Linked DNA regions of Rhinolophus ferrumequinum. The protein of the gene in region 3 interacts with the protein of the main gene of each other region in a pairwise test. Links are inferred from orthologs where the notes say so. Each region holds a gene or a part of one and is shown on either strand. Other genes may lie near its edges. The genes, in order: LSMEM1, GIMAP5 and LSMEM2.

The links.
Region 1: the proteins of LSMEM2 (region 3) and LSMEM1 interact in binary tests that used the Homo sapiens proteins (3 or more experiments, as listed by UniProt). The two-hybrid records come from large-scale screens. The link is inferred for Rhinolophus ferrumequinum from reciprocal best matches to the Homo sapiens genes LSMEM2 and LSMEM1.
Region 2: the proteins of LSMEM2 (region 3) and GIMAP5 interact in binary tests that used the Homo sapiens proteins (3 or more experiments, as listed by UniProt). The two-hybrid records come from large-scale screens. The link is inferred for Rhinolophus ferrumequinum from reciprocal best matches to the Homo sapiens genes LSMEM2 and GIMAP5.

Annotation. Positions count from the first base shown.
Region 1 is NC_046303.1:4,684,041-4,694,390, forward strand, and holds the start of LSMEM1 (leucine-rich single-pass membrane protein 1), read right to left. Parts: upstream 4,925-10,350; 5' UTR 4,751-4,924; intron 2,804-4,750; 5' UTR 2,776-2,803; coding exon 2,736-2,775; intron 2,659-2,735; exon of another isoform or gene 1,945-2,658; intron 1,876-1,944; exon of another isoform or gene 1,874-1,875; coding exon 1,742-1,873; intron 6-1,741; coding exon 1-5. Other genes in the region: IFRD1 (interferon-related developmental regulator 1), read right to left, coding at 9,523-9,612.
Region 2 is NC_046309.1:4,008,146-4,019,054, reverse strand, and holds the start of GIMAP5 (GTPase IMAP family member 5), read left to right. Parts: upstream 1-5,935; 5' UTR 5,936-6,259; intron 6,260-10,360; exon of another isoform or gene 10,361-10,363; 5' UTR 10,364-10,366; coding exon 10,367-10,409; intron 10,410-10,909. Other genes in the region: GIMAP1 (GTPase IMAP family member 1), read left to right, coding at 1,567-2,432. UniProt on the Homo sapiens protein: Plays a role in T lymphocyte development and the optimal generation of CD4/CD8 double-positive thymocytes. Inhibitor of GSK3A, possibly by sequestering GSK3A in cytoplasmic vesicles and impairing its translocation to the nucleus.
Region 3 is NC_046300.1:6,302,950-6,313,144, forward strand, and holds the start of LSMEM2 (leucine-rich single-pass membrane protein 2), read right to left. Parts: upstream 4,486-10,195; 5' UTR 3,199-4,485; coding exon 3,177-3,198; intron 3,139-3,176; exon of another isoform or gene 1,561-3,138; intron 996-1,560; coding exon 885-995; intron 795-884; coding exon 466-794; 3' UTR 396-465; coding exon of another isoform or gene 262-395; 3' UTR 1-261. Other genes in the region: SEMA3B (semaphorin-3B), read right to left, coding at 4,994-5,395, 5,851-5,990, 6,086-6,141, 6,226-6,383, 6,621-6,662, 6,749-6,840, 7,102-7,321, 7,628-7,772 and 6 more.

The DNA.
Region 1 (10,350 bases), on a different chromosome or scaffold from region 3:
TAGGGCTAACGTAAAGCAAACAAGCACCAACAGTGACAAAGCTCCTCAGCCGACAGCTTCTCAGCAGAGCTGAACAGTCCCCGCCATCAGGGATGGGAGTAAGGGACGTGGCCACTTCCCCTCTAGTCATTCTGGGAAGGGACGTTCGCTAAAGGCCTGGCTCTGGGCTGGGTGCCCTTTGTGAATGTTTTACCTTCTTCTATATTGGTATTCAAAGGACAAGCAGGGTCAAGCTATCTCCTTATCCCTGTTTGGAAAGTTCTTTCTTTGAAGATCTGTTAATACTGAACTAGCAGAACATGCGTTTTTCGTTTTTGGCAGGGGTGGGGGGAGGGGAGGAGGAATGGAGGAGATAAAGAAGTTAAGGGTTCAGAATGATGGAGACTCTACGGTCCTTTCCCCAAAGTGACCCAGGAGTAAAAACAGCTGGCCGTGGGACACCTCTGCTGGGTGGAAGGCGGAATGCTCTGGGCTGTGTCCCAGGAAACTCCTTTCGCTATAGGAAAAATCAGTTCAGCCTATACCTATACAAACGAAAAATGGCCCGGATGTATTTTGGTTTCTTAAAGCTGTTTTCATGACGGAAATGCTCTGGAAACAAGGTTCTTTTCCATGTTTTGCTGTTGAACTGAGAGGGCAGCCGTGCTTATAAAACAACGTGGTTCACCCAGACCATGAGCATTTGGTCATCACTGTGTGAGACCTGCCTAATAACACCCACATTCGATCAAATCAGAAATACAGAAACTTGGGGCAGTTGAGAGACTTAAGTTATTTCCATATTCTCTCCTACTTGGCGTCAGTCCCACACGCTGTGCTATTTGATTATAGAGAGATGGGTGGCTTACGTCCCAGACACCCTATGTCACCCCCTGAATAGCTTTTGCTTCCTGATCAAAGCAACAACATAAGCTGGCACCCAAACACCTACTTTAATTGAGACTGACTGCAATAAAGAAACAGGTGAAAATCCGAATACCTTCAAATCAAGAGAAAAGCAAGGTCAGAAGGAGAATAATAGATACAAAACTGGGACATTAAGACTTTAGAGTGCACGTGAAACAAATGTCACATTGGCAACACCTGGGATTGAATGTCAGCGTTTAAGAAGGGACAGAACTCATTTACAACATTTAGGGGACAAGACACACATTTAGTATTTAGCAGAAGTTTTGTTTTGCTCTCCCCCACCCCTTTTTTTCCTAGCCATTTAATTGGGGCAATTGTCATTTGTTAGTAGAAACCAAAGTTGACTTTTTTGCCCAACAACATTTTAATGATTGTTTTTAAAACTTGATCAAAAAAGTGTGGAACATTTATATTCCCAGCGACTCGCTATGAAGTGAGATCGCTCTAGGGACGTGGGCATCATCGGTGACTTGGATGTGGTCACTTGAAGGCAAACAGCTGCCCAGCGGGAAGAGCAAGACTCTGGGAGACCAGCTCTGCCGCCTCATCTGCTTTCCAGGGAGAGAAACCCCACCGGGACTTTCAAGAACTTTTGAAGACAAGAGTTCAAATCGTACTTCGGAGCCCCAGAAGCCCAGAGCCTGTGGGCATTTTGGTTCTCTATTCAGAGAACCAAAGCAGATATTGGCGAATGAGCACTTTCGGGGCCAAACTGTTATTCCCCCCCCCCGGCCCCGCCCCCATTCCCCACACCCTCAAGGGCAGATAAGCATCCGCTGGTTGTAGGCAGCTTAGAAGCTGCGGGCCGCTGGCCCTCGGAGAGCACACGTACGGAACAGGCGTTGAGATCCGGCAGGACAGAGGTTCAGTCTGTGTAAGTCGTTGATGGAATCCACAGCATAAAGCTTCCCGTCTCCGAGAATGCCCTGCGAGCCAGCGTCCTGGGAAGAACGATTCATTGTCCCTGGAAGAGTACACCGGTGTTAAACTCGAGGCTTCCCAAGAATCACCACCCATGGGAAACGGGACACGCACATACGGAACCAGCCACATAGACTGTTTCCAACCGAAGTCCTGTCCAGAAGAGAACATTTCCTTTCCGGGACAACTTTGTCCTTTCTGCTTTGCTTGCCAGGAAGCTCGGAGTCCAGTGCGTGGCCCAATTTTAAAAATTGTGCAATGCCTATACCCTCCCTATCTGCATATGCTCTTTCCTGCTCCTCAGATTTCTCAATTCTGCCTACACTTTCCTGGGCCTCCTTTTTATTTTGTAATTGGTTTTTAAATATTTCTCCTTTGTTACAGTGTTCACATCCTGGTGAGATGTCTCAAGTCTTTTGTGCAAAAGACAGTATGACCAGATAGAAAGATGCCATTTAACCAGTCAGCCTGTGGCCATAAAGATGCTGAGAGAAGAAGAGAACATTACGGCAAACCCTTGTTACTACATGAGGCTTTAATACGAAGCTGTAATTTTTATACTTCTTCAGTATAACATATGAGTCTCTCCCTTCAAATGTGTCCTTCAGCCAGTAGATGCTGGCTGTCCTCAAGACAAGATCTGAACAAGCTTAGATGCCACAAGGAGGAATCCTGCAGCTGTGGGGGGCGAGACTCCAGGACTTCTCAGGTGTCTGCCCTCTTGAGTTTCCGTAGACTGAGGTCACTTCCATAATAAATCATTTTTAAATTGAGGTTTACATTTAAAGTGATATTCTCTAATGACAGCACAACTTGAAGCAGCACTGGAAAGCCTGAATGGATTAAAAAGTTTTATTTTAAGACATCTCTCCAGCATGACAGAGAACTTGTGGCCTTTTACTCACGTGAAAAGAAGGGTCCAGGAAGGCAAATTCCAGTTACCATCAGAGCTTCCTCTTTTCATACAATGAGTCTAAGAGTGAGTAGGACGGGATTGTTTTAATCTGGAAAGAATTTTATAAGTGTTCCAGTCTAGCCCTCATGCTTTCCACAAATGAAGGAAATGACGCTCAGTAGGTAAACGCCCAAGATTATACATTTATCTGGTAGCTGCAGTGCTGGACTAAATTTTTTTTCCCAATAAAAGTTACAAACTAAAACAGGGTGTTTCAGTTATCCTGAAATTTTAATTGACAAAAACACAAAATTCCCTGAGAGTTTTAGGTAAGATACGACTGAAGCACTTTAAATATTCTAAACATAATTCTAAATATAAATATACTTCATGAAGCATTCCTCAGGGAGTGACGTGAAGTGACAGAAAAAAAAAAGTAGCAGCATATAGACTAAAGGGGCCTTAGAGATCAATCAAATCTTATCCTTTTACAGATAAAACCCAGTGTTGACTGATGGCAGGGTCACAGATTTCTAAACTATTTTTCTAGAAAGGTTTTACCCTTTATCACCTCCTCTTCATACTTTTTTATCCCAAATGCTAATATTTGATGAGGAATGAGGTTGGGTGAGTCACCGCAGTATCGTCATTCCAAACACGGCTTCTATTTTAGGCTTGGTGACAGAGGCAGGGCTCATTTCTGGATGTGACTTAATATCCTGAGCCTTAGCTTCCCCTGTAGGAATGTAATTACTCTTGCTTAAATCTCATGCTGAGGCTTAATCGATGTTTACAAAGTACAGGACTGGCTAGAAAATTATAACCACAAAACCGAGACATGCACCTAATAAAAATCTCCAAATTATCGGCCTCGCTACCGACTCAAAGCAACACGCAATCCAAAAGCCCTAACACAACTGAGAATAAGCTGTGAAGTGTTCCAAAAGAAAACGTCACGAGGTAGACAGATACTACTTCAGTGTATTTTTTAAATTAACTGCAACATGCAAATACAAAATTAAGAGCCAGCAGAGAAAACCGAGTTGGGGGTGTGTGGCCACCAAGTTCCTGCAAATGACGCTGAGTAAATGGATACAAGGTCACATGGCCCTACACCCAGGACCCACAGCTGTTTGACACCCAGTTGTTGCTATCTTTGGCCTCTCCATCTGAGGCCGTCTGGGAACAACCAGCAGGGCCGGAGAAGCCAGAATGTTCTAAATTCTGCTCCGCACTCACTCAACCCTCCTTCCCGACTCCGTGCGCAAATTTGCTCATTAAATAAGACCAAAGCAGTATCCTTTTTCATGGGATCCTTTCTAATACCATGAGCTGAAACGTAAGTAATTTCATCTTCCTCTGGCTTAGATCAATGCTACCGTGTTTACCCGAAAATAAGACCTAACCGGAAAATAAGCCCTAGCATGATTTTTCAGGATGCTCGTAATACAAAATAATCCCTAATGTATTTCCCCAAAAATAAGACCGGGTCTTATATTAATTTTTGCTCCAAAAGATGCATTAGGGCTTATTCTATATTAAGAGCATCCTGCAAAATCATGCTACGGCTTATTTTCTGGGTAGGTCTTATTTTTGGGGAAACACAGTAACAGCTTATTCTTTTTGTTATTTAGGAATTCTTTGACTACCTACAGATAAATATTCTGACAAATAAAGACAATTGTCGATGAAAAATTGCTTTGCTCTTTTTTCCCCATAGGTCCTTGGTATCAAACCACAGGAATAACACACACTAGCTAGTATTGCTTGCCACAGTATTAGAATTGTTGTAATAGGACTTAATTCAAAGCTAATAGGACGCTTTATGGAGTGGGTCATGGTGATTTGTTCTTTAATTCCGTTTCAGAGTCAGTGCCTCTTCATCATTCAGGAAGTAATTTTTAAAATCAAGTGTAAATCATTTCTATCAAAAGTTAAAAGCACACAGCACATGCATCAAAGAACATGCCAGCCTCAAGAGTCATAAATCAGTCTCAGGAGAGTAATAGCATGCAGATTACTTACAAAAATGTGAGCTTTGACTGCTAGGTTACCAGAAAACAAAACCAAAACCAAAAAAAAAACCACACTAATTATTCAGAAGCAACTACAATAAAACTGTCTACTAATTCTGTAGTTCTTTCTTTGCCTTCCTTCAGCGCTCGGGCGTTCCTGCAAGGTCCATACACCCCAGCATGAAACGGTATTTAGTGTTCATTTAGCCAAGCAGTGTAAGATTCCAAATACGGACTTTTTTCCATAATGTCTAAGATTTCTAGCAAATATATTATTGAAACTACACTTTAAAAAGAAAAAAAAAAACCCACCACCCCAGGTACAGCTGGTAACTGACACGATTCTTACTGGACTGCAGTTACTTCCTTATCTGGGCGATGCGGCTGTGTGAGCTGGCATACTTCCAGCCACGGAATGCCCCACATATAAATACCCGGTAGCAGGCTGGAGCTGCCACCCAGCTGGAGCTGCCAACTAGCTTGCACAGGACTCCAGACCAACCGGCAGACTACAGTGAACAGGGACAGAATAAGGTCCTGGCATTCTAACTAGGATGATGGCAGGTCAGAGGACCCCTAAGGCTTCCGGGAGCTGCAAAAAAAGATGGAGAGTGGGAGACCGCATGGCTACAGACGCACGGCAGCACTTTGTCTCAACTTCCTTGCCTTTCCAAAGCCTTTGTTCTGAGTTTTCATGCATTCTCCCTTCTCAGGAATGTCAGCCTTTCTCTTCTGTGGGTCCCTCACACATATGCCAAGCAGCTTGTGCCCTCTGGTGTGCGTTCAAGAAACTACAGTGAGAAGGAGAACAGCCATCCCACACACACACCCTGGTCCCAGACAGCAGGACGACCTACCCACCCCCCCAGGAGCCTAAGGGGTGGGCTGTAACCTGATACGTAGTCCTTCCCTCATCCTCCCTCCCACTGCAGTGACAAGACAGACATTGGTCATCCCTGAACCGTATTTCAGGTCAATTGAAAAACGTGCTGCACAAAACTCCCTTACATCTATATTTAGTTTGGACCTCACTCTCCTTTGGGGGAAAATGGATATCATTTTCTTAAGCTGCCTCTATACTAGAGGATCAATTCAATGAAGACCATGTATCTAGTGTCTTCTCAAAAGCACATTATACATGACAAAGCTATGCCAAATTTCTTGAAAAATGAAAATGTTAGCTATTAATCATGCTGTTTTAAAAATTATCTCCAAACTTCCTGAACTGTCTTAAACAATCTATCTTTTGAAGAAATAATAGTCTCAGCCAGAAATAACTGGCTAAATAATTTTAAGCACTTACTGTTTTGCTCTTTCCTATAAACTGGGAACCCCGTGAAGTATTACTCCCTCCTCAGGGATGGAGAATGGAGACACGCAGTTCCTCACACGCAAGTCTGAATTCAACCATCTTTTACACCAGTGAGGGGGCTGAGATTTTTATGGGCAGTTAGATGTCTGGAGAACCAATTAAGAGCAAAGCACGATAACCTACCTGGTTTTACCTATTATGTACCTGAAAGGCCACATCAAGAAGTGTTATTACAGGTCGCGAGAAGAGGTAGTCTTACATGAACTGTTTTAATTTGGGCACATTTTCACGTATTTCTTGCCTTTTCTTTCGAATATTGTATCTCACTGTATCTAGATTCAACTCCCAGAAAATTCTGTAAACGGCATCAAAGACTCGTCACAGCTATGAATTGTCCCAAAATTAATGCTTAAGCCTCAAAATAAAGAGTATAGTAAGCAGGGACCATTTTAAATTCCTTTAATACAGCACGATGCAAGGAATGAACTGGTCCACCATATACCGTTTTACTACTTTCAAGAAAACTCCAGCATTGTGATACATGGGAACCCCAGGAACCCCAACAACTACCTATCTAGAAATCTAATATGCACGTTAACACACCTTCACCTTTTCTTCTTCAAACCCCAGTACGAAGGCAGAATAGGAATAAAGATGACACAACTACAAGAATGAAAACTGGAGGAAACCAATACGCAAGAGGACTGTAACCAAGGCATTGACTAAGGAAAGGAGATGGTGGTCGGGACCTACCTGTCTTAGCAGACTCGGGAGGGTGGTGAGTGAGTGAGGTGACTGACCCTGCAGACTTCAGGCAGGAGTTGGAGGTAGCCGTGAAATATGGAGCTAAATACAGGCAGGTGATTGCAGGTTAGCCCCAAATAAAATGCAATAGAAAGGGTGAAAAATCATCTTAGAGAAATCTCCAAGAAAGAAAAAGGAGGAAGAAATAAGGCCATAGGCTCCATCCAGCAGCTCTAGCACCTCATGGAATTGCCAGAATGAAAAGTGTGTGTGTAGGAGGGGGTGTGCCCAGGACCAAGAACTGAGCTTTCCAGCTTGCCAGAGCCCACCAAAGCACAGAGTCACGTAATTTTAGAACAACTCTTAAGAGCAAAACAAACCAAAGAATCAGAAATAGAATTGCACCAGATATTATAACACTTGATAGACAGTAGAGCAAGGTCTTCAAAATTCTGGATTTTCTCCCTAGAATTTTATATCCCAACCCAAACTGCCTTTCAAACATGTACCATGTTTCCCCGAAAATAAGACCTAGCCGGACAATCAGCTCTTATGTATCTTTTGGAGCAAAAATTAATGTAAGACCTGATATAACACAGGGTCTTTATAATAAAATAAATATAATATCTGGGTCATATTAATTTTTGCTCCAAAAGACGCATGAGCTGATTGTCCGGCTAGGTCTTCTTTTCGGGCAAATACGGTAGACTCAAAATACCTGACCTCCCCATGCACCATTTCCAGAAGTTGCTGAAGGAAGTCCCACTTGAACAAGAAAGGAATCTAACACTGAAGCCACGAGGCCAGAAGTGTGAAATCCAACCCAAAAGGAAAACCAATCCAGGGACGATGAAGTCGGGAAACAGCTGTACATACTCAGATGAGGGCAGTCTACACTGAAACGGGCGTTCTGCTGGGCTGTGACCATGTGGAAAATAGACTAGCATTCCACAGACATGTTTGGGACTCTGGGAAGGATCAGTGATGTGACCATAAAACAAAGCTGACTCCCTGCTGACTGTGGTGTTGAGTATGGAAATGTAAGCACAGGAAACTCTAGTTCAGGAATGAACACAGAAACATGGTCACTACAACGCAAGTCACAATGTGGATTGAACAACCAAAAAGAAAAAAAATTGGGAAGATGAAGTAAGAAGGCAAACACCTTCACCTATTGAATAGGAACTTGTCAGGTCGGAAAAAATAAACTAAGCAGCAGCTGTTGGAGCCTCTTACTTGGAAACCAGAAACCAGTTGCTAGGTAAACACTAAGGTTGAATGGTGGTCTGGTATGAGGAGGAACGGGAAAGGATGGAGCAGGGAGCTGCTGTTTTTCAGCCTGGAAGTACCATGAACCTATGTATACGCTAGTGAGCAACTGTAATAAAAAGTCATTTTTATTTAACAAGATGCATACATGAAATGGAACATTTAGAGGAAAACACTGCTTCTATCTTTCCATGGTTCTAACCTACTGGGAACCCACCATGCAAAACCCCCAGCCCTAGATTTCATGCTTTTCCTTGCACTGCACCCGAGGGTGGGACTCACACCCCACTAGGAAGGGCAACTCCACGGGCCAATCATTTCCAGCAAGAGGCACGTCAGACGCTCAGCTGCGGGGCTGTGGGAGGGACGCTGCCTTGGGAAAGTGCCTTGGGTGACTCCGGTTCTTCTCTAGTGTGCGCGTCCTTTTATTCCTCACACCTCGTCACCATATTCTGCACTGATATCAAAGAAGCAAGCATATGAACTCTATACTGCAGACGTTGCTTTGTGCAATGTCGTTTTAATATAAGCTTAATAATAAATTCTTAATGCAGTCACAATGCCTGCAACTTGTCATAGAGTGAAATCTAACTCATAGTGACAATTAAGCAGCAATAGTCTTAAGTCAGTAACCAGAACCCCAATGATTCACTGCTGTATTTTTTCACCTATTTTCAGGTTTCCAAACATACAAAGTAAGTTTTGTCTCCCTCCTTGCCCCTTCCCTCCCCAGCTTGGTCATTTTGCACTCTGAACCTCAAACCCATAAATGATGTTTCTTCTATTAGAAAAGAAGCACTTTCAGTGTGAAAAGATCTTTATTTCAAAATAAAGAGCACAGGCTTACACAACAGATGAAATTAGTGTTACTGCCCTCAGAGGTGAAGGTGCGCAGCTGTCCTGGCTGTCCTAATTCATCCTGAACTCCCAAAGCTGGACTGAACGGCCTTGAAGTGTAGCTGTGAGGTCTACGGTATAATTGAATTTCCTTTGTTGATCCCAGTGACAAAATTATTAGGTTCCATTTAAAATTAAAAACATAGCAGCTTTTCTAGAAGAACTAGCTCCCCAAACTGTATCCAGAACTCGTTTGTCTAAGATCTTAAATAGCTTGTAGTATCTGCATTATAATCAACATATCTGACAACCACAGTATAAGGTATTTAACCTTGGCTAATAGTTTTCTTACCGTGAAATACCATATGTTTACTCTCTTCATAAATAGAAAATGACCAAACATTACAAACACTTTATTCATGTTTACTGATTCTATTTACAGAGAATACTCAATCAGAACTTACCATTTGCAATACTATACATTAAATTATAAGTAATATAACCCCTGCTACAAAAGCTATCTATGTTGACGAGATAAAAACTGTCTCCAGAGTTTAAATACATTAGAAGTTACAAATAAAAAAACAGAACGTAGAAAGTAGTCTTCAAATGCTGAAAATCTAGAAGAATTCTCCAACATCTGCTCTCTTATCGCGACATTTGCTTCGAGCTTTGGTTCGAGCTTTGAAGGCTGCCGAATTATATAAATGCTGAATTGAAGAAAAGGAAAATATATGTGAGCCACACAGGCTTAAGAGTCTCGTAAGATTTAAAATAATGTAAATAAAAATCACAAAGGGGAGAAATGAACTAATTCAACACTATAAGTATTTTAAACGTTTGTAAAACACATACAAAAAGATCAAGGACAAGGGGGAAACTTAACACATGTAATAGCTAACGGCTATCTATAGTAAGAACATTCCAGTGAAAAAAATTGAAAAAAAAAGGTACATCAACATTGCATCTGATCAAGGAAAAGTCAAATCATGAACTAATGTGAAAAAAAAAATCCAACCATGCTATCAATAACAAAAATATGAAGTTCCATTTTAATACTCAAACAATTTTTTAAATTAGAAAACTTAGGCTGTCAAATACGTGTGTAATAGCCACACGCTTTCTCATTGCTGGGAACAATTAGAAATGACAAAAATAACTTTGGAAGGTAATTTAACTATGTATCAAAAAGTCATAATTCCAGCCCTGTATTCCCATGCAAGGATTTGTTTCAAAAAATAGTCCAGAAGAGAAAAGTATGTGAAAATATTAATAGTTATTAAAAACCCAACAATCAATGACATGGTCATAAGAATGATTAAATTTATAAAGATTCTATAAAAAAATACATTAAGCCCTTCATACCTATTATGAGGGCTATAATTTAAAGCAAGAAAGAGAGAACAACAAGTGTTGGTAAGAATGTAGGCACCCTCATATACTGCTGG
Region 2 (10,909 bases), on a different chromosome or scaffold from region 3:
TAATGTAGTTAAATCTCTCCGAAGGCCAGGGGGCCTCTCAGTCTCAAAGGACTGGAGCCCCTAATCAGACTGACTGGAGGTTTTTATTGACACTCATACAAGTAACACTGTTTCTTACACGGTCTGTGAGACTCATACATCATAGCAGAAAAATGTTTATCCCAATCACCCTTTGTCTGCAAACAGCCAGAGCACAAGGTCCCATGATGTCTTAATTACGGTATGTACCTGTGGGGACAGAGCCCCAAAAAGCAGTTTCCAGGCTCTCAGCCTCACATAGAAAGGTGCTGGCTCAGGTAGTAAATGGCCATGGACTGTGATCAAATGGCCATCAGCTGTGGCTAGTTGGCCGTCAGCTGTAACCAGTGAGCCATTGGCCACGAATATAACTGCCGTGGCTACGCTAGCAAAAAATGGGGGCTAGCAAGGAGATGGTGGCTGAGCCTGCAAGCGGCACAATGAGGGTTGAGAATTGTGTTGCTCCTGGTTCCGGTGTCTCCAACCCAGCCGCCAGCGAGAGTATAGTGGTGTGACTCCCCTACCTATGGCTCCGTGGGTGTTCCTTTTTGGCCTAGCCATATCCTGCGTTCTTATGTGGGGAGCGGGAGCTGAGACCCTGCAGGCCGTCCCGCATGACAGTACCCTCTCAGGGTCAAGTCTCTCATATTGTAACAGTTCCGTTGAGACAAGTGGAGAGAACTGATCTTTATTGTCTTCATGACTTCTCTCACAACAGGTGCGAAAGAGGAGCCAGAGCTAGCAATGGCTTTTCCTAGGCAGGGGGAAGGGGAGGCAAGGCCCTTCCCATATTTTTCTAAGGCATCACGTCGGCGGGGGCTCAACTCAGTTCCACCTGGCTTGGGTTGTATGTCCCGTGAGATATCTTACCCGTCTTTGCCTGCAAACCATCTTTTGGAGACCAGACAGAGAGACATAAGGTGTAAACACAATGATGGAACAGAGTCCCAGAAAGGCACACTATCACAGACTCTTCTTTCTTTAAGGAAAGACACGGGCGGGGGTGGAGGGACAGTTGGCTAGGTTGTTGTGTGACTACAGTTTAACACTTAGATTAAGCAACCCCCATGGCTGCACAGCTGGCGATGGCGGGGCTGCGAGACAAACCCAGATGTCTGGGATTCCAGACAGCCCCTCTTCTCCCGTCTACTGCCCCCTCCTGCCCTTCCTCCCTGGGATGGACTCTGGGAGAAGTATGGCAGAGGCCCCTGAAGCCGTCAAGTAGGGACAGCTGTGCAAGGTAAGGACGAGCAGGGATAACGTCTGGTGAGGTCAAGTGTGGAATTGCAAAGGGGCATCCTCTAGAGAAACGCTCACCGGGTGCTGAGCATCCACAGGTGCACGTGGTGAAGCCACAGGGAAAGAAATAGAAGGTGAAGATGCCGGGAGTGCAGGCAGCTCCGACCAGATGAGCTCAGGCAGGGTTAGGGGGAAAAGGCGCAGGTGAAGGCACTATTGTTCTCCTTTGTTCAGAGGGCTCCCGGAGGCCCAGGTAAGCAGGCTGCGGTGCTTTAAGGTTTGGAAGCTGACAAGTCACGTGTCCTCCAGGTTCCGAAGACGCCACGCAGGGCCTGCAGGAGCCCAGGCTGCGGCTCATCCTGGTGGGGAGGACAGGAGCCGGGAAGAGCGCCACCGGGAACAGCATCCTGGGCCAGAGGCGCTTCCTCTCCAGGCTCGGAGCCACCTCGGTGACCAGAACCTGCGAGGTGGGGAGCTGCAGGTGGGGCCGGTGGCACGTGGAAGTCATGGACACCCCGGACCTTTTCAGCTCCCAGGTCCCCAACACAGACCCGGGCTTCGAGGAGCGCAGCCGCTGCTACCTGCTGTCGGCGCCGGGGCCGCACGTGCTGCTGCTGGTGACCCAGCTGGGCCGCTTCACGGCGCAGGACCTGCAGGCGGTGAGCGCGCTCAAGGAGCTGTTCGACGACGCGGTGCTGGCGCGCACCGTCGTGCTCTTCACGCGCAAGGAGGACCTGGCGGGGGCCTCGCTGCAGGACTTCGTGCGCGACACCGACAACCGCGCGCTGCGGGCGCTCGTGGCCGAGTGCGGGGGCCGCGTGTGCGCCTTCAACAACCGCGCGGAGGGCTGGGCGCTGGAGGCCCAGGTGCGGGAGCTGCGGGAGCTGGTGGAGCCCCTGGTGCGGTACCACCAGGGCGCCCCCTACTGCAACGACGTGTACCGCCTGGCGCAGGAGCTGGCTGCGGCGAGCCCGGAGGAGCGGCAGCGCCGGGTGGCCGAGAGCCTGGCGTGCCGCGCGCGGGCCCGGGCGCGGCGTGGGCTGCTTTCCCGGCTGCGCGCGTGGGTGGCGGCGAGGAGGTGGCGCGTGTCCGCGCTGCTGGGCGCAATGGTCCTGCTCTACCTGGTGCTCTCCAGGCTCTGGCCTGAGGCCATTGATGAGTTAGGTCCTGAGTGACAGCCAAGGGGACTTTGACCCATCGATGTATAAGCGCATTCATCCCTGGTGTGTGAGCTTCCTTGGCCCGCGGGCTCTCCTTGCCTCTCTCACCTGGACATAACCTAACAAGGACAGAGTGCTGAGAGATCCCACCTCTCCCCAACACGTTGCCCTGTGACCTGGCCCTCCCTGAGTTCTCCCCTTACTGAAGCCAAACAACTGTTGTTGCTTCTGCCCGTTTCCCCCTGACCTCAGGCCGCCCTTCCCTGTCATTGAATTGTCTTGTCTCCTAAGAGCAGATGAGCATTTGTCCTCTCACCCCTGGTTTCCCCACGGGACCAAGGGAGAAAGCCAACACAGAGCCTCAGTCCATACCCTTTTGTTTGAATTAAATGAATAAATGCACGGGGCAATCACACTGTTAAAGGAAATCACTATTTGTAGATGTTTGTTCATCTGCCTTATATGCCCATTGAACAGAGCCTGTCATTCCTAACTCCATCTGCAAAAACCACACACCCAAATACAGACAGACACACACATACACACCTGGGGGGTGGAGGGTGTTCATCAGAAGATAGCACTCTGAAGAACAGTCCACCTGTCCCAGCAGGAGACATCTCCCCCTGCGTCCCCATTCAGACCCCTCCAGCAGCCTGCTGCTCCCCAGGCTCTGAACCCAGGACAGGACCAACAGTCCAAGTTTTAAAAATTAAGGGAATCTGCTTTGAAAGGAACTGTGGAGCGGATTCGGAATTAAAAGTTCATTGCAGAGGAATCCTGTAGCTTCAGACAGAGTTTTAATGACATAGAACACTGAACACTACCAACTTTGCAAAGGCTCAAAGTTCACTTGTTAAGTTTCACTTTTGACTATAGATACACTTTTAAAAGAAATGTCTGACTTTAAAAAGTCCTTAAAATGTCTTAGGAGTCCCAATACATCTTTCCTCCCTTGAAAAATAGTGAAAGGGCTGGTAGTTTTTAGTAGACAAAGGATTCCTGGCAATGGAAAAATAATCATTTTTATTTTGAGCATTTAAAGAAATGTAGACACTATCGTAGGCCGTTAGGCTGCTAAAATAAAAAAGTGAAGCAAAGCAAAGAAATACCACAGACTAGGTGGCTTCTAAACAACAGCAATGGATTTTTCACAGTTCTGGAATTTGGAAGTCCAAAGTCAGGGTGCCGGCATAGTCGGGTTCTGGGGAAGGCCCTCTTGGGGTTGCAGACTGATAACTTCTGGCTGTGTCCTTACATGGTGGAAGGGATGAGCCAGGTCTCTGGGGCCTCTTTTGTAAGGGCACTGATCCCAATCATGAGGGACCTGTCCTCTAGTCACCTCCCAGTGGTGCCATCTCCTAATACCATCCTCTTGGGCATTAGGTTTGCATCGTAGGAATGGCGGGGAGACACAGACATTGAGACCAGAGCAGACACTGACCCTCCTTAATACTTTTCTAGTTCTCACACCTGAGTAGATCTGGCCCTTTGAGGTCCTTGTAGGTTTTTCTCATCATCAAAGAAATAGACATCAGGGTCCTACATGTTAACTTCTGATACATCAGTTTTTTTTACTAGCGCAATGATTTACTACCAGAAAGATAAATGTAGCTATAATGAAAGTAACAAAGTTTCCAATTTTCTAGCATGTATGGTTCATGTCTTTACAAGATGAAGTAGGATTTTGGGAAAATCACAAGTAATGTGTGCCAATTGGTTACCTACCTGGGATTTTATGCAAAAAAATAATAATAATCCAGCTCCTCTCTGCTCCTGGAGAAGAGAGGGCGCAGCAGGGGCGTAGGCAGAAAGCTGCAGAGCCCTGAGGTTAGGTAGGTATGGCTGTGCTGTCCGATTTTCTGGGGGATGAGCCAGTTCACAAAAGTTCTTGAATGCTACACCATGAGAAAACCAGATGCCATCCTTAGGTTGTGTAAGAAAAAAAATTCCTTGTTTCTATTTCTGAATGTGACAGAACACTTTTATGAAAGGAAGTCATTGTCTTTATACCAGCCACACAGAGAAGGAAGGGCCCACACATATGTGCTTTGATACCACGTGGGGTTGGGCCCAGGGAGGCTCAGCGCGGGCTGCTGGGTGGGGATGGGCTGCAGGCAGAGGGCCTGGGGGCCACGGTGGCTGTTGCAGGGAGTTGGACTCTGTGAAGGCCGGCTGGAAAAAAGACCATTCTTTTTTTTTTTAAATTAATTTATTTATTTTTTAAATTTATTGGGGTTACAATTGTTAGTAAAATTACATAGATTTCAGGTGTGCAATTCTGTATCACATCATCTATAAATTACATTATGTGTCCACCATCCAGAGTCAGTTTTCCTTCCATCACCACATATTTGATCCCCCTTACCCTCATCTCCCACCCCCCAACCCCCTTACACTCTGGTAACCACTAAATTATGTTCCCCAGATTAATTTTCAAACCCCGTGGCCATCTTGTGGTTACCGATTGTTTTCTAATCCCCTCACCTTTCCCCTTACCCCCACCCCCCCGCCCATCTAGCAACCCTCCGTTTTTCCTCTTTGTCTCCAAAACTGTTTCTGATTAGATCATTCACTTACTCTTTTCTTTAGATTCCACATATAAGTGAGATCATATGGTACTTATCTTTCTCTGAAAAAGACCATTCTTAATTCCAGTTTTTAGCATCCTCGGCAGCCATGCTGGGTCCACGCAGGGGCTCAGCCAGAGAGAGTTTCCTCTGGTGACCTGAGGGGCTCAGGGAGGGGCCAGGGTTGGGGTGACAAATGGTTCTTAATATATTATGATGAAAACAACCTCATGAGGTATGAAGAATAATTATCATTCACTTGCTTTGATTTGAAGACGGAAGGAATCTACTGAGGTTAAATCCTGATGGCACAAGATGGCAAAATCAAAAGTGCAACTTCTTTGTTTGCCAAGCATTTGCACCAACCCAAGCTTTCCATCCATTATAAACTGCTTCTTTACTCACCCGTTTATCCATGTTATACCACATATATTTCCTCAAATATCATACCTTAATAATTCTTTGAGAATATGGTCACAACCCAGTTACCCTCTAAAACAAAATACTTTGCTCAGTTCCAAAAGAAAATGGCATTGTTTAAAATATTTTCCTTTTTCCAAATGAAGACATTTTCTGAAGTTGACAGAGTACAATGTCACCAACACGGTCCTGTTAAATTAACAGAATTCCAAGAGCATTTTGAATTGTACCTTCCTAAGCCCACGCGCGCAGGTCTCACTTTGGCTAAGATTCTATGTTAGGTCTAGAAAGCTTTGAGGGCCTCAGAGATCAAGTTCTACTGTGAAGAAACAACGTAGCAAAACAAGATTGAAAAATCTCCAGCTGCTGAGGGGAGCGGCTGGTGCCTCCCCCTGCGCTCCCCGCAACCCTCAAGGACTTTTTGTGCCACAGGGGGCTTTTCTGAACCTGGGAATCCGTCGCCACCTTCGTAGCCTTCTGTTCCAAATAGCGCTTATTTAAACAAGTCATAAAAAAGGAAATGGGAGGGGGCAAGACAAAGACAGTCTCTGACAGGAAGCGTCCCACTAAGGGAACAGCACGCAGAGCTCACTTAGTCTCTGGGTCCTGTTTGCAGCACTTTCGCCGTCCACCCGGAGGCAGGACTGCGTGGGGCGCTGGGCGTGCTCCGTACTCCCCTTTCTTCTTCTTTGCCTGGAGCCGTTCCCTGGAACATTCGACCTCTCAGGCCACCGGGACCAACTTAACAGCCGGGCTTCCCGCTGCGCCGGCCGCCTGCGCTCACCGCCAGCACCCCACCCCCCGTGCATACCTTGCCAAAGCTTCCAAGCACCGCGAGCCGCAGCGCCCTGCTAGGTAAGAGGACCCTGGGGACTGTCCCAGCGTCATGGGGGTCTGAGAGCCCACGGCCTAGTCACAGCCTCCGATTGCTGGTGTGATCACACACAGGTCCCCCAACTTCTGGGTTCGCCCGTCGGTGAAATGGGGCGATGATGGCGAGCGCTATGGGGAACAGGAGATTTATAGTGGGGGGAGAAACAGGCACGGGAACCACTCGCCCCAAATCCGCAACCCATCACATTCCACAGCGCCACAGGCTTTTCTGTCTAATTGCCTACTGCTTAGCCCATTGGGTCTTCATGAGACTCACAGGGTTTCAGAAAGCTGGACTAATAATCTCCTCCCATTTGACAGATGAGAAAACTGAACCTCCCCAGTTGCCCCAGGTAGTTGGGGGCATGCTTCTCAATATACTTGCTTAACTTCTTAACCCCTCCCACAATGAGCCACGTTTTCCTGCAAGAGACCCCTGAGCAGACATTGTCTTAGGACCCCACCTCCTGGAAACCTCATTCTCCCCCAAGTACCCTCCGCCTTCCTCTGACACATTGTAGGACTCGACTCTATGGCAAACAGCCTCATGTTCAGGGCACATGGGAACAATCCCTCTGCCTGCTAAATCTTATGTGAGAGACATCACAAGAACTAAATTACAAAACAGGCGACTCTAATACCGGGAAATATAGGGACTGCGGCAAATGAGCAAAGAAGGTACTTAGAAACGAGTCAGACAAGAAATAGTTTGGTCTTTCCTTAAACAGCATGAGAAAGCCTATTTTCTCTCGCTTTGATAAAATCATGATAAAATCAGGCTCATAATTTTAAAATCGGAAGGTGCATTCTGTTCATTTCCTTCAACCCCCCCGGCTGAACTAAGCCCTCCTCCGGTCCCCATCAGATGCTCTTATACTTTCTGCCTGCACACTGTGCCTGGTGCTCCCTCATGATACCTGGTCCCATTTTGGAGATTAGTAGAATTTTCCTTTTCGAGAAGAAATCTGCCTCCATTCTGGATTCTCCCACTTTTGCCTACTCGGAGATTGGCACATATCACAATCCTTCAGGTCTGCGGTACTCCCCCTCGTCCCCCCCAGTCTTTTCCTAGGCTTTCCTCAGTCCTGTTAATATTTTGTCTATGCCAGGATCAGTTTAGCATCTCCATCAATATACTTTCTGACTCGTCCCTGGACACTTGGTTATTTGTTGATATCTGCCTGAAAACCTCTTCCTCAGCGGGACACATGTGCCGCCTGCAGCCCGACCCGCTCAGAAACACCACTGTACTGCATCTCGGCTAATGTAACCTGAGTTTGATTGACTTTCTGGGACAGGCACATCCCTCTATTTGGGTCACAATCATACTCGAGTCAGTAAAACCACCAGATTGTTTTCAACTGAAATGCTTCTATGCAGAACAACTCCTGCCCCCTGCAATTTTCTCTTTGAATAATCTTTTCTTGGAAAAACACGCATTCAAGAATTTGCAGTACAATTCTCTGTGTTGTTTTAGGGCTGACTTCCATCCGGTCAACCATCAGTTTATGTTCTGACCACAGATGGCAACATTGTAGGTGGTGGTCCCAGAAGTTGGGGACTTATTTGAAATAATCTTTCCCCTGTAGACTCAAGGAGAATATGCAGGCAAAAAGAGCCACATTTTAATCTTAACTCTGTGGCCACTGTGTGACCTTGGGTAGGTCATTTGATGTTCAGTTTCCTAACATTTTAATCGAAATTTTAAGACCTGTCTTCATTCCATCACAGCAAATTTAGAGAACAATTGAAATAATGGACATAAAAGAACTTAGAAAATTATAAATGGCAGCACAGAGGACTCTTGCAATAATAAAGTTCATCACCAACGTCATCATCTTTACCTCATCAATAGATTGATTCCAACCCCAGGAAAAGGCATTTAGGTAGAAAAGGTGTCAGAGAATTTGAGCATTTTTAGCAAGAGCCAGAGTATGATTTCCTGGAGTCAAAGACAGAATATGGAAGATGGTGGTGAGGAAGATGCTGTTTTCTGGGCTCAAGAAAAGAAAGGAAGGATGGGCTGGAAGGGGGGAAAAAAGGAAAAAGGAAAGGAAGGAAGGAAGTTGTCTTAGTATATTCTGATAATGTGAAAATGGATGGTTTTCCTAAGGAGGGCCCCCCCAAAAAAAATCCACTGAATGAATAGAAAAACGTGCATACATTATTTCTATATAGCAGAAGCAACCTGAATAGCAAACACACTATGAAAACCATTCTGAATTCGATGTAATCAGTAAAATGCAAGTTTAAACCAATTAAGACATCCTCATTTAAGCCCATAAGGGTGAGTAAAAAAATTTAGTCTAATATCAGCAAATGCAAGTAAAGATTTTGGGAATTGTCACACATGGCTGGTGTCAGCATATGGTGTCAGCACAATCTTCTTAAAGTCATATCTGGCACTATCTAGTTGGATGGAAGCTGTGTAAACCAGATAAATTGTAGTACAGGAGATACACAGTATGTGGGCATTATTTTGCAGCATTGTTTGTAGAAGCAAGGGTATATTTTGAGATAGCTTGAATGTTCGTTAATAAATAATTGGATAAAATGTTACACAAATAATGTCATTTATGTAAAAATTTTAAATCCAAAAACAGCACTAGATGTTATCTATACGAGGAAACGTGTTTGTAGAAGTGTAAATACACAAATGAGAATGATACATAAAAACCTCAGGATACTGATTGTTTCTGAAGGACAGAAGGAGGGAGAATGAGAGTGGGGAGTTGAAAAAAAAATCAATGGAATTCTATGTGTAATGTTTTAACTTTCAAACAGAATAGCTGCAGTAAAAATGCCAAAATTCTTACATTTCTGCATTGCAAATGGTGGGTTTTGTTTTATTACTGTGTAATAAGTTTGTTTCATAACTGCATAATATTTAAAATGGAGTAAGTCAAATACCTCATCTTAGTTATAGCTGCATGTCACGTGCTTGCCTTTTCTACCGTGTTTCCCCGAAAATAAGACCCAGCTGGACCATCAGCTCTAATGCGTCTTTTGGAGCAAAAATTAATATAAGACCTGGTCTTATTATAATACAATATAAGAATGGGTATAATATAATATAATATGATAATATAATATAGTATAATATAATAAATATAATACTGGGTCTTATATTAATTTTTGCTTCAAAAGACGTATTAGAGCTGATAGTCTGGCTAGGTCCTATTTTCCAGGAAACACGGTAACACCAAGAAGAGTGACACAATATTACGCCTCATTTGAGTAAAACATTTGTGCCAGTAGATGCCAATGGTTGTGCCAATTTCCAGTTAACCTACTGGGAGACAAACCTGGTGATTATTGGGAGACCAGGACCTCAGAGCCAGCCAGGAAAAACATCTGGTTTAACACTGAGCAGGAAATGAGTTTCTCTTGAATTTGTCCTGAATGTTGATTCTTTCTCTTCAATCTTGGCACCACCTTCTCTCCACCAACTGCTCGGGGACTAACAATAAACTTGCTAGAACAGAGGAAAAAAATCACTTTGCTGTACATGACATTCGCTTGTTTGAAGTAGTGGGAATTCCTGGTCCCAGAAACTCTTTGTGCTAGACGGACATTCCAGTGGCCAAGAGCAAAGTACAATGTATCTTCCAATGAGAAGGTGGTATCAGGGACAAAGATTCCTTCAAGGACTGACATGAGGGAAAGTACTGCCCATAGCACATTTGCCTACTTTGATTCCAAAATAATAATAATAATAATAATAATAATAATAATAATAATAATAAACATTCCACTCCTCATTCCATAACAGAATGCTTACTTCATTTCATGCCTTTTCAAGTTGGAGGGAGATAATCAACTGATTTGTTTTAAAACATTCCCTGCTTTCCTGTAAGCTGAAAACAAAAAACACAGTGCATTGTGGTAATATAAACTAGCATCATCTGGTTTGCTTAAAGTTATTTATAGACGTTTGAAAGTATGTGACTTAGGAAACTAGCAATGGAAATGGTTTATTGAAGGAGAGAATTATTCTTATGGGTCTGAACTGGAGGTGTCCTCGGGCTTTACCAACTCCCATATGGACACTTGCTTTTTATTCCTTTCCTGTTTTCATTCCAGAAGACAATGGAAGGGCTTCAGAAGAGCAGCTATGGAACTATGACTGAAGGTAAGGAAACCTCAAAGTTCTCAAAAACTCCAGGCACAAGGGGAGAGTCACTATTCTCTCTCTACCTGTCCCTCACCTCAAACACAGTGACAGAAACCCAGTTATTTTAAACTAAAGAAGAACAAAGCAACTGTTATTTGTTCTTTACTTTCCCCATTATCATCATACCACTGATGTGTGGGAATGAAACTTCAAGTCAGAAGTTGGAGGACTGGGTACTGAATTGTGAATATGGTTTCTTTCCTTGTCTGCTCTCAGTTGGAAAAAAAAATGGGAAGGCCCCCGAGAGAAAACATCCCAGAACACTTAAGGAAAGGAAGAACCGACACAGAGTAGAAGGAATAAAATAATAGATTTTAGGAGCCTACAGTGAACTTAGAACTCATTTGGGCTCATAAGAACTCTAGAAATCCTCGGTTTCTAGACCCTTTTTCATCCCTTGAAGATTTTAGCTCTCAGCTGTGTCACCCTGTTTCCAACACCAGATGTGTTAATTTCCT
Region 3 (10,195 bases):
GAGGTCACAGGAGGAGCCAGGAGGCTGGCATCACTTCCTTTGACCTTGGGCCACCCATAGCAGGGTCTTGGCACCTGAAGCTTTGGTTAGGCCTGGCCTGAAGAAGCCAGGAGAGGCGGGCAGCTATGGGGCCAGATGAGGCTCCTATACAAAACCCTCACCAAGAAAGTAGTGTGGAGCAGCAGTGGGAGAGGAGAAACCTGCTAACGGCCACTTTATTCCCCCCACACACACCCCCAGACCCCAGGTCCAAGTAGCATCTCAACTGGGTGCTCGGGCCTCACTGGAGTTGAGCCTCCGCAACTGGCTGAGGCTGGCCAGCCGGAGTTTGAGTAGCATCTCCTCCTGCGTGCGTAGTGTGTGTGCCAGCATGCGTAGGGATTCACTCTGCAGCACTGCGGACAGGCAGGCAGGATAAGATGGGGGGTTAGCAGACCCCATGCCACCCCATGGTCCCCCTTCCACTCAGCCCAGCGTCAGGGGCCGAGAACCCCCACCCCACACTTCGCTGCCTCGGTCTCTGCAGTTGCTCCTCCCAACCGTACAGAAAGGCCTCCTGGTCCCACTTCCTTGCCCTTGGTTCCCACTGGCTTCTTGCGCCTCCATACCGCTCAGGTAGACAGCCAGGATGGCGAGTGCCAGGCAGGTGAACACCAGCAGTGCGAGCAGCAGCAGGAAGCCCCCTCGGCTGTGCAAAGGGCTGCAGCCAGGCTGGGCGCACAGCGACGGTGGCAGGATGCCCAGCAGCTCATCCCATGGCTGAGCCTCCTCGGCTAGGTAGGGGTGCAGTGAGCCTACAGGGTGAATGGGGCATCAGGAGGGCAGTGGGTGCACCTGTTTTCCTCTTTGCCCAATCCATCCATCCCGTTCCCCTGTCCCCTTACCTCCGCTGTGTAGGTCGCTGATGGACTCCACTCGGTGCAGGCGCACCTCCTGCATGTGGTTGGGAGCCAGTGATGCCCTGTTCTTCGGGCTCAGCATTGGTGCCATGGTGTCTGTGGGGCACCGCGAGGCTGATTCAGCCAGTGGGTCACCCCCTCCCTTCTAGATGGCTTCCAGAGGCAGTAGGGACTCGGGGAAGATGGGGACAGGACAAAGAGGTGGGGGACTCCTAATCTAAAACCAACTCAGGAATGGCCAGTGATTTTGGAGCCAGGACGAACCTGGAACCCCATAGGTCTGTTTTCACCCACAGTAGTAGGTGGTGCACTTGACTTGGTCACGTTTGCTTCCTTCCAAGCACCTCAAAGACTTTTCAAGTATTCCTCTGCCTACTCATTTCTAGAGGAGAGTTTTATCAACCTTGGAGGAATAAACCCATAGTGCATGAAGTTCATTCCTGCCTCTTCTGCTGTCAGTTTTCCCTGTAGACCCTGGAAATTAGCCATCGGGCCAGACCCACAGCCTGACATTCTCCTGGTCCCCAGCAGAAGCAGCAGCATATGAGCTGGTGGTGCCTCTCCTTCCTGGCCTTAGCTCTTTCTTTAACATACTCAGTGTGATTCTGCTGACTGCTCTGAACCCTGCTGTTTTCACTCAAAATCAAGACAGGAGACCTGCCTTTGTTATCAGACTTTCACAGGCCTCTGAGGTCTTCTTTCAGGCATCCCTCTGAGGCCGCCTGGGCATTTAGGTTGTTTCCAGTTCTCTTTTGAAATCAATAATTCCTAGAAAAGGATGTGCATCATTGAGTAAGAAGAGGTCTTTCAATTTCCTAACAGTTAATAAGGACAGATTCCAGAAGCAGAATTACTGGATCAAAAAGCAGGGACTTTTTTAAAGCTATCCTCAAATTGGCTGCCACCATGGCTACCCGCAGCCCCCCAAAGGATACAACATTGCCACCATTAAGCCTCTCCATCGAAAAAAACATATATACATACATATGCACACACATATTTGCTAAGCTGGGAACTGAGAAAGGCCTTTTTGACCCATTTGATTTGATCTCTGCCTAGAGGGGGGGCTGATCAATATGTATGTGGCTTCCTAATTATCTGTTCAAAGCCTCTACACAGTCACTTTTCCTATGATATTTACTTATTTTTAGATCCATCAAAGTGTTTATTATTTCTAAAAATTATATTTTCTTCTGGTGGTTCTTTGACTTGATTTTTTTTTTTTTAATCTTGGCTCCTTACGACCCCCAGATGTCCAGCTGGAAAATAGATCACAAAGTGGGGAGCATTGAAGGGACATCTTATAGGGGCAAGGGTGAGTAGATTTTCTGGGTCTATCGCTTTCTGAACAATAACTCAACCTTCATGATTTGCCTGAAAATGACCCCTGACGCGCTTGAAAGTAAGTAAAACAACAAATGCTGCCAGTTACGTCTGGGTGGTGCATTGAGGGTCATATTAAATTCCCACTTTGCACTTGGTTGTGCTCTTCCCACACTTTCTAAATTGAACTCAGATTCTGTTTGTTACCAGGGACAACACACAGTAAATGTCATTGTTAAGACCCCAAAAGGAGGTAACACCCCCTACACACCCAGGGTTTCCCCGCCTTCCCATCCAATATAAAATTGAAAATGTGGTGGGGGGAGTTTCCCAGCTAGGCCAGGCTGGAACTGTGGAGCAGCTGGTCCTGTACCCTGGCCAGCATCTGGATCTGGAGCTTCTTGGGTCCCTGCTCTGACCCCTCTGAGCCTCCATGCTTCTTGTATGTGGTGAAACAGTTAGGTGAGTGGCCACCAAAGTCTTTACTTGCGGTTATTCTGGCCAACAAAGGGATCCCAACGTTTAGCCAGTTGGGGACACTTAGGCCCAAGTTGGAGGAAGTCAGAAGCCTCGCCCCTCCCTGGGCCATGCGCCCAAATGCTTCCTGGAACCACTGCTCATCCACAATCGCAGCTTCCTCTGAAGTAAGAGCTGAACCTGCCAGGCAGCTGCCCCACCCACACCCACTTAGGCACAGCCTTTAGTTCACCCTCTCCCAACTGGGTAGCTACCTCAACCGCTCTTGCTGTCCCTAGCAGGGGAAACAGGCAGAAGCTGAGATGAGAAGGGGTTCCAGGCATGGTAAGCCTTCCTCCATGCACAGCGGCAGGTCCCATGACTTGCGCTGGGACATTGTGACTGACGACTAGTTAAGGACGCGGGGTCAGTGGAGCAGGGGTAGGTTTCTCCGTGGTCATAATTTTGGGGCTTTGCCCTCCTTCAGTCACCTCCTACCTTCTTGGGTCTCCTCAGGCATGATGGGGTGGGCAGTCACGGAGCCCGATGTCAGCACCCAGTAGCAGGACGGTGGAGGCAGCAGTGGCTCCTCTGTGAGCCTGAGGAAGGCCTGGCCACCTCCCAGCCTGAGCCTGAAATAGGCCTGCGCTCAGCCCACGGGGCTATATTTAGAGGGGACAGCTCTCAGCCATGGAAAGGGGCAGAGTGACCCACATGGCCAGTGTGGACTATTGACCTGTGCAAGTGCACACCTCTACTAGTGCATGTGCCCAAGGGCTTTCCTGGGGAACCCTACGACTCCCATATATACATGGGCCTGTGTCTTCATCCAGATGAACCACGTCAGTGGCACCTCCAGCAATAACCCACGTGGCAGTCAAGACATGCAAGGGGGCTCTGTGCATCTCCACTCCTCTACCCTCCAAAACGCCTACCCACAGCTGGGTCATCCAAGCAAAGGTGGGATAGGCACCCACTGTTTGACCTGTTAGCATCAGGGATTGAGGGTGATGGACAACCTGAGCCCAGTGCCACCAGGGTTCAGAGAGCCCTAAAAGGGGGCAAATACCCCACATATGCATGTACCCTGCTGGTCAGCGGGTGGACCTAGGCTGAAGAATGACAACTTCTATTATTAAGCCTACAACCTTGTATAAAGGATTGCCCCTTCTCTAACCTGTTTTCTCATCTGTAAATCGGAACAACAATGGTTCCTCCCTGGCATCGTGTGTGTGAGAATGGAAATACAACCACGCGTCTGAAGCACTTGGCACAATGCAGTTTTGATCTGCCCTCCTCTCCACAGGGGCACACAGGTCACAGACGTCGTGTGAGGATGCATGGACCACTTACCCTTGAATGGAGGAAGTGGGCCAGCTTAGGCCCACCCTCTATTGTTAGACCCGTGTCCCTCCTTCCCAAATAGGACAAAGTGAAAGAGTGGGTCTCTGACTCTTGTAACACCCCAAATCCATTACTCCGGTGTATTATACTGGCCTCCTTGACGTTCCTCAAACACAGCAAGCTAGTGCCCACCTCAGGAACTCTGCACTGGCTCTTCCCTCTGGGAATGCTCTGCTCCCAGATATTCCCATGGCTGGCTCCTTGCCATTTAGCTCAAATGTCACCCGCTCAGGGAGGCCTTCTGCTCACATTCTTTTCCATATCACCCAATTTTATTCATAGCACTTAGTCCAGAAATTATATTACTCAGAATTTCCTGTGCTTGTCGGTATCCCCACAGGCCCTGCAGCATCCACTCAGTCACATGGTAGCCACCTTTAATCCTCACCACAGCGTCTTCAGAAGACACCGAGGCCCTGAAACTGCGTAGGCAGGTAACCGAGGCCGCACAGCGAGCCCAGGACAGCGGCTGTCCGCCGGGGCCGTTCCAGCTTCAGCTGATAATGAGTTTATTGCATTAGTACAGTCGGCCTGCCCCCCCGCCCCCCCAGCCCAGCCCGTTCACAGCTTTCTGCTCATTGCCCGAGGAGGCGGTCCTTCTCCCAGGGTGGGGACTCCTGGCACCTCTCCCGTCCAGGTCGTTGCTCTGGAGCCCTGATTCTTTGCCTTCTCCCGACCAGCCGGACCCTGTGCCCGGCCTGAGCTGCCCCTCCCCGGGCTACATTCAAGGGTTATCCACTGTTAATAAATAAGCTGGCGCGTCTGCCCCACGGCCCGAGCCTGGCCGGCGGTGTCTCGGTTGGCCGGGGGCCGCTGTGTGCCCGCTCCCTAGCTGTCTTTTCCCAGGGTCTGTCCGCCCCTCTCCCGCCAGTCGTCTCATCTCCCCAGTCCCCGGCGTGGGGACTGCCGAGTCACCAGTGCGCTGCGCTACGTGGCCCCCGCTCAGCGCGCGGCTCTGGGGCGTGTGTCCGCCGGTTGCGACCCTTTCTCTGCGACTCAGGAAGCTGTGCGCGCGGGGCGGGCTGCGGTCGACACATTCGCAGGGAGCTTGCGCCACCGCCACCCGGCTCCACCAGCTGTAGGAAGTCCCGGTACCAGAGCTTGGGGCCCGGGGGCACTACGGGCGCAGCCTCCTCGGTCCGGGCCAGCCTTTCTGCCTGCGCAGCACTCAGTACGTGCAGCACCAGGCGACGCAGCGGCTGCGAAAAGCCCTGCTCCACTGCTGTACACAGGTACGCGCCTGAGTCCCCGCGTCGCAGGCCGCGCAACAGCAGCCCCCGCGTAGTGCGCTCGGTGCGCTCCTCCGCCGGCACCTGTAGGCCCGGCCAGAGTGAGGCGCGGCGGTAAGGTCGGGAACCCCGCTCCCGGGCGCCACCGTGAGACAGTAGAGGCAAGGGTCTGCGACGGCCACGCGGCGCGCCGGCGTGTGTGTGTGTGTGTGTGTGTGTGTGTGTGTGTGTGTGTGTGTGTGTGTGTGTGTGTGTGTGTGGTGTGTGTGTGTGGGGGGGGGTGGTGGTGGTGGTGGTGGTGGTGGTGGTGGTTTGTGTGTTGCCTAATTAGCCGGAACAGGCCTCACCAGGTTGTGGAGTGCAGGTGAAATAGGAAGAAAGAGATCAGGGTTGGCAGAGCCGCACTAGGTGGAGCTAGACCTCATCTAGATGTGGGGAGAAGGCCAGGGCCTCATTATTCAGGGCGGAGCCTCTACTGGATGTAAAGAGCCCGACGAGGGCATGGTTGGGAGGTTCCCCACCACCACCACCAGGCTCACCGGGACGCCGGCCGTCTCCCCTGCGCGATGGAAGGTCCACTCCACATGCGCCTGCAGCGAGCGAGGCTCACACTCCAGGAAGGCGCTGCCGCCCTCCACACCTAACACCTTCCGCTCCAGCAATGCGGGATGTGACGAGTCTGGGGGCAAAGGGAATGAATGTCAGATACAGGCCAAGCGGGGCAGGGTGGGGCGTCTTCAAGGACTGAGAGATGGGGGCAGCTGGAGCACTCACCCCCAGAGCACAGCGTTCTGGGGTCGCCGTTCTTTATGTCTTGCCTCCGGAATCGCCTGGGGGGAACATTGGAGCTTCCCTGAGCCCCTCTTCTTTTAGCCATGGACTCCCTCCCAGCGGCCCGCCACAACCCTGCCCACCTCTTGCCACTGGGCTGGAAGCGTGTGCACGCGGCCCCGTCCCAAGCGCAGTAGGGGTCACGCGCCAGGCAACATTCGGCGCAGGCGCGGCCGTGGGCAGCGCAGCGTTGCAACGGGATCTGGGCCACTGCGCTCCGTGAGGCTACGTACAGCTGGTGCTAGGGGGCACGAGGGGCTCCGGGGTGACCGAAGGCGGCCCTGTGCCCACCTCCCATCGGTCAGGGATCCCTTCCCCACTTGACAGATGGGAACACTGAGGTCTCAGGTCACACAGTCTAGTGAAGGCAGAGCCTATACTCAAACCCCAGGCTTCAAACTACCAAGGGAAGCATGGAGGTACGGGCGCCTGGGCACCCGCTTGGTCCATGGCACCCCTAAGACTTCTGATCACTTACCCTCTTGGAAGAGATTTGCATGCTGGTGACAGCAGCAGAGTCCTGAGAGAGAAGGGGCACTGGAATCAGGGCTAAGTGGAGTGGAGGAAGCCCAGGTGACAGGAAGGGGAGGGGGGATTAGGTCTCACCTCAAACACCTGCAGCTCCTCCAGGAGCAGCCCCTCAGCATTAGGCCGGCTGCTCTTGGGGACGGAGATCACCTTCAGCACGGTGCCAGCATCTGCAGGAATGAGGAGGGGTGAATGACTCCTTGTGTTCCCTGACAGCTAAGGCCAGGGGTCTCTTCATCTCCGAGGCCTCTACCCTCAACATGGTTGGGTCCGTGGAGAATGTGGGTTGGAACAATCAGAGCAGCATCCAGAAGGAGATGGGGGCACAGCCCCAGCAAGGGCCTGGAGAGAGGACTGAACATGGGGAGCTTCCGTTAACAAGCCAAAGAGCCTAGACTGGGTCTGGCTGGTGGTTCTGGCAGGACCCTGACCTGTGCCAATGAAGAGGACGTCGTAGTGTCCGTCAGCTGCTGCTACGCGGTCTGCAGTGATCTGGGTGAAGGTGTACCCGGCACCCACTTGTAGGAAGAGAGGGTGCCCCCCCACAGGCAGAACTGAATTGTACATGAGGGGGTGGTTCCGGGCAAACTGGATGACATCATCAGGAAAATCCTTGGTGGAACTGAAGGTGCCAAAGGTCTTGCTGGGACACTGGGGGATAGGAAGGAGGCAAGACAGGGATGTGGGGATGAGCGCCTGGTGTGCAGCCATCCGCAAAACTCTGGGAACCCGGAGTGTATATATATGAGGGTGGGTGTCATGGACAGAGACCCAGCCTTGCCCTTGGGAGTCTGAGGAGGAAATGTGGCCTTCCCCTGGGGTCCTGTCTGATGAAGGTGACGTTTCTTCCACCCATAGCAAAAAGAAGAAACCATATTTATCAAAAAGACCCCAGGCCAAGTTCTCTACCCCTGAGGCTTTCAGTGGGTTGTGATGGGGGTTCCCTGGGCTACGTACCATGCCCGGCCGGGGGTAGGGGACACGACCCTGGTAGGACACCCACTGGTGCATGGGCCCCTCCTTGTGTGCAAAGGGTCCAAGGAAGGCCCGGCGCACATCATTCATGCTGTACACGCACACTGCGGAGCCCTGGAAGATGCCACTGCAGGCGAAGATGTGAGTGGAGTGAAGGGCCCAGCAGAGCCCGGTCGGCCCCACCCGGCTACCTCCCAACCCTCACCTGGAAGTGGAGAAGATAGCGTAGAGCAGTGGGGTCCAGCGGTCCCTGGAGGACAGCAGGAACACATCCTCTGCAGGGAAAGGACCTAGTTGGGGGAGAGCCCACAGCCCCACAGGCCAGCCAGGCTCCAGGGTCTGTGCCCCTGCACTCTCTCCCCCAACTCCACTCCCCACTCCTCGCACTCACGGAGCTGGTCGAAGTGCGTGTCGCCCGCCACGCCTGGCACGGAGCACACCAGCCGCGCCTTCAGGAAAGTGGTCCACTTGTTGACCAGGCTGCGCTGCCCACCCACATCATTCTGCGGGGTCAATAGGAGGGGATGAGGGCGAGTCCTCTGAGGGCAAAGGGGCAGGGCGGGAGTCAACAGATGCTGGCCAAGGTCTCCTCACCCGGCAGATCTGGCCAACACGGGACACGGACAGGCGTCCCAGTGCCGGGGCAGCCTCCACTGCCAACTCACGGAAGAAGAAGTAGATCTTGTCATCATCTGGGTTCTCACTCTCAGGAATCCAAAAGACCTTGACGAACTTGGGCTCTGGCCACAGCAGGAGGCGTGGTGTCAGCGAGGTCCTGGCCTCCTCCCCACCCCCACTCCACAGGAGACCCAGGTGCTGCCTCCTCTTCCTCTCACAACAGCCCCACAGGCAGCAACGACTACACAAACTCTAGAATCAAGTTCAGACGGCCGTCCACGTGAACAGACTCCAAAGGTTCAGGGCCTGCGAGTCATGAAGCAGCCACGAGAGGGCAGCAGAGACCATGGCTACTTGGGCACACAGGCGGAGGGAGCTTCTGCCAGGTACAACCCTCTTACCTTGCCCCTGACAGTTCCCCAGGCCTGTGGGCCAAGAAAGGAGGGAGATGGGGTACCTGGTTTTACCTTCACTCAAGAGTCTTCCTCTCTAGCAGGAAGCAGATGCCCCCACTCCTGTTTCAAGAACTCTACTGGGTGCCATTACTCTCAGAATAAATACCCTGGCCCCTGACAGTCCAAGCCCCGTATGAATCTGTTCCTCGGCTTGTTCCTGCCCCAGTGCCTTTGCACTGGTTATTCTCTCTGCCCGGAATGCTCCTCCCTCAATCCTGCTGTGCTTTGGGAATTAGCTCACATCTCCTCAGCAGAATGAATTCTTTTCCCCAAACTTCCCACCACTACCACCTTTCCCCCTCCTCTTCTCATTGGTCTCATGGCCATTGAAATTGATCTTATATTTGTTAGGAGGCCCATGAACTCAAAGAGGGCATGTCTCATCTGCCCTGCCACCCCAGTGCCTAACACAAGGCCTGCCACATGGTGCCCTTGGTGAAACCTGGCTGCACCCATTGCTCACTTCTTTTATGGACCTTACTCAGCCCCTGCCCTGTTGAGGATGAGGGCCTTCTCCCACCAGCCCCACCAGCCTTTCACCGTTGAGCCAGCGGGAATCATGTGGTTCTGTTCGGAGACTCGGACGCGGGCCCAGGCTGCGGAAGATGGTGAAGTCCCGGCCCATGAGGTCTGCAGCCACCCCCGAGTATAGCTCTTCCCCTGCAGACAGGGCAAGGGCTGCTTAACCAAGGCTGAAGGTTCTGAGGGAAGGGGTTGTGGAGCTCTGGGGGCTCTTGGGGAGTCAGTGAGCCTATGGAGGATCCCTGGGGCTCTAGGGAGGGTCTTGGGACTTGGTGAAGTTCTTGAGTCCCTTAGGGGTTCCAGGAATTCTGTCGGGGTCCCAGCCTTTGGACTTACCCACCAGCACGGAGGCTGCTTGATGCCTGGGGTCATAAGGACTCTTGCCCTTGCCATCCTCTAGCTTTTGAAGGTCCAGCCGGAGCACGGGCTCCTGGGAGGTGGGGGAAGTTGTTACAGCCAGGCCCTTCTTTACTCTCCCAACCTCCCTTTCTGCCTGAATCTGGCCTTACCTCTAGCCGGTGGCCCACCTCCACAAATGCACAGGTTGGGTGGAAGGCCCCTGTGCCACAGGCCAGCAGGTGGGTGCGGTTGTAGGCATGCAGCACCTTCACGAAGTTCATGCACTCAGTCTAGTGGGCAGGCAGGGGCAGAGACAATGAGGCAGGAGCAGGAAGGCAGCCTTAAGAGGCCCCAGCTCACCAGTGGCACCCCTACCCCTTCTTTTCTTCTGCTTCAGTCCTGGCAAGTACCAACACGGGCTATAGGGACCTGGGTGCTATTGGTGACCGGCCCAGCCCACCTTCTCCAGAATGGATACATGGGGAAACATAGGCTTGCATTGCCCCCTATGACTCACAGGCCCCCAAGAAGAATCACATGAACACCCCCTGACTCACTACCTCTAGACTTCAGCCACCTCAGCCTCCCTACCCCCTTCCCAGGCAGAACAGGCAGG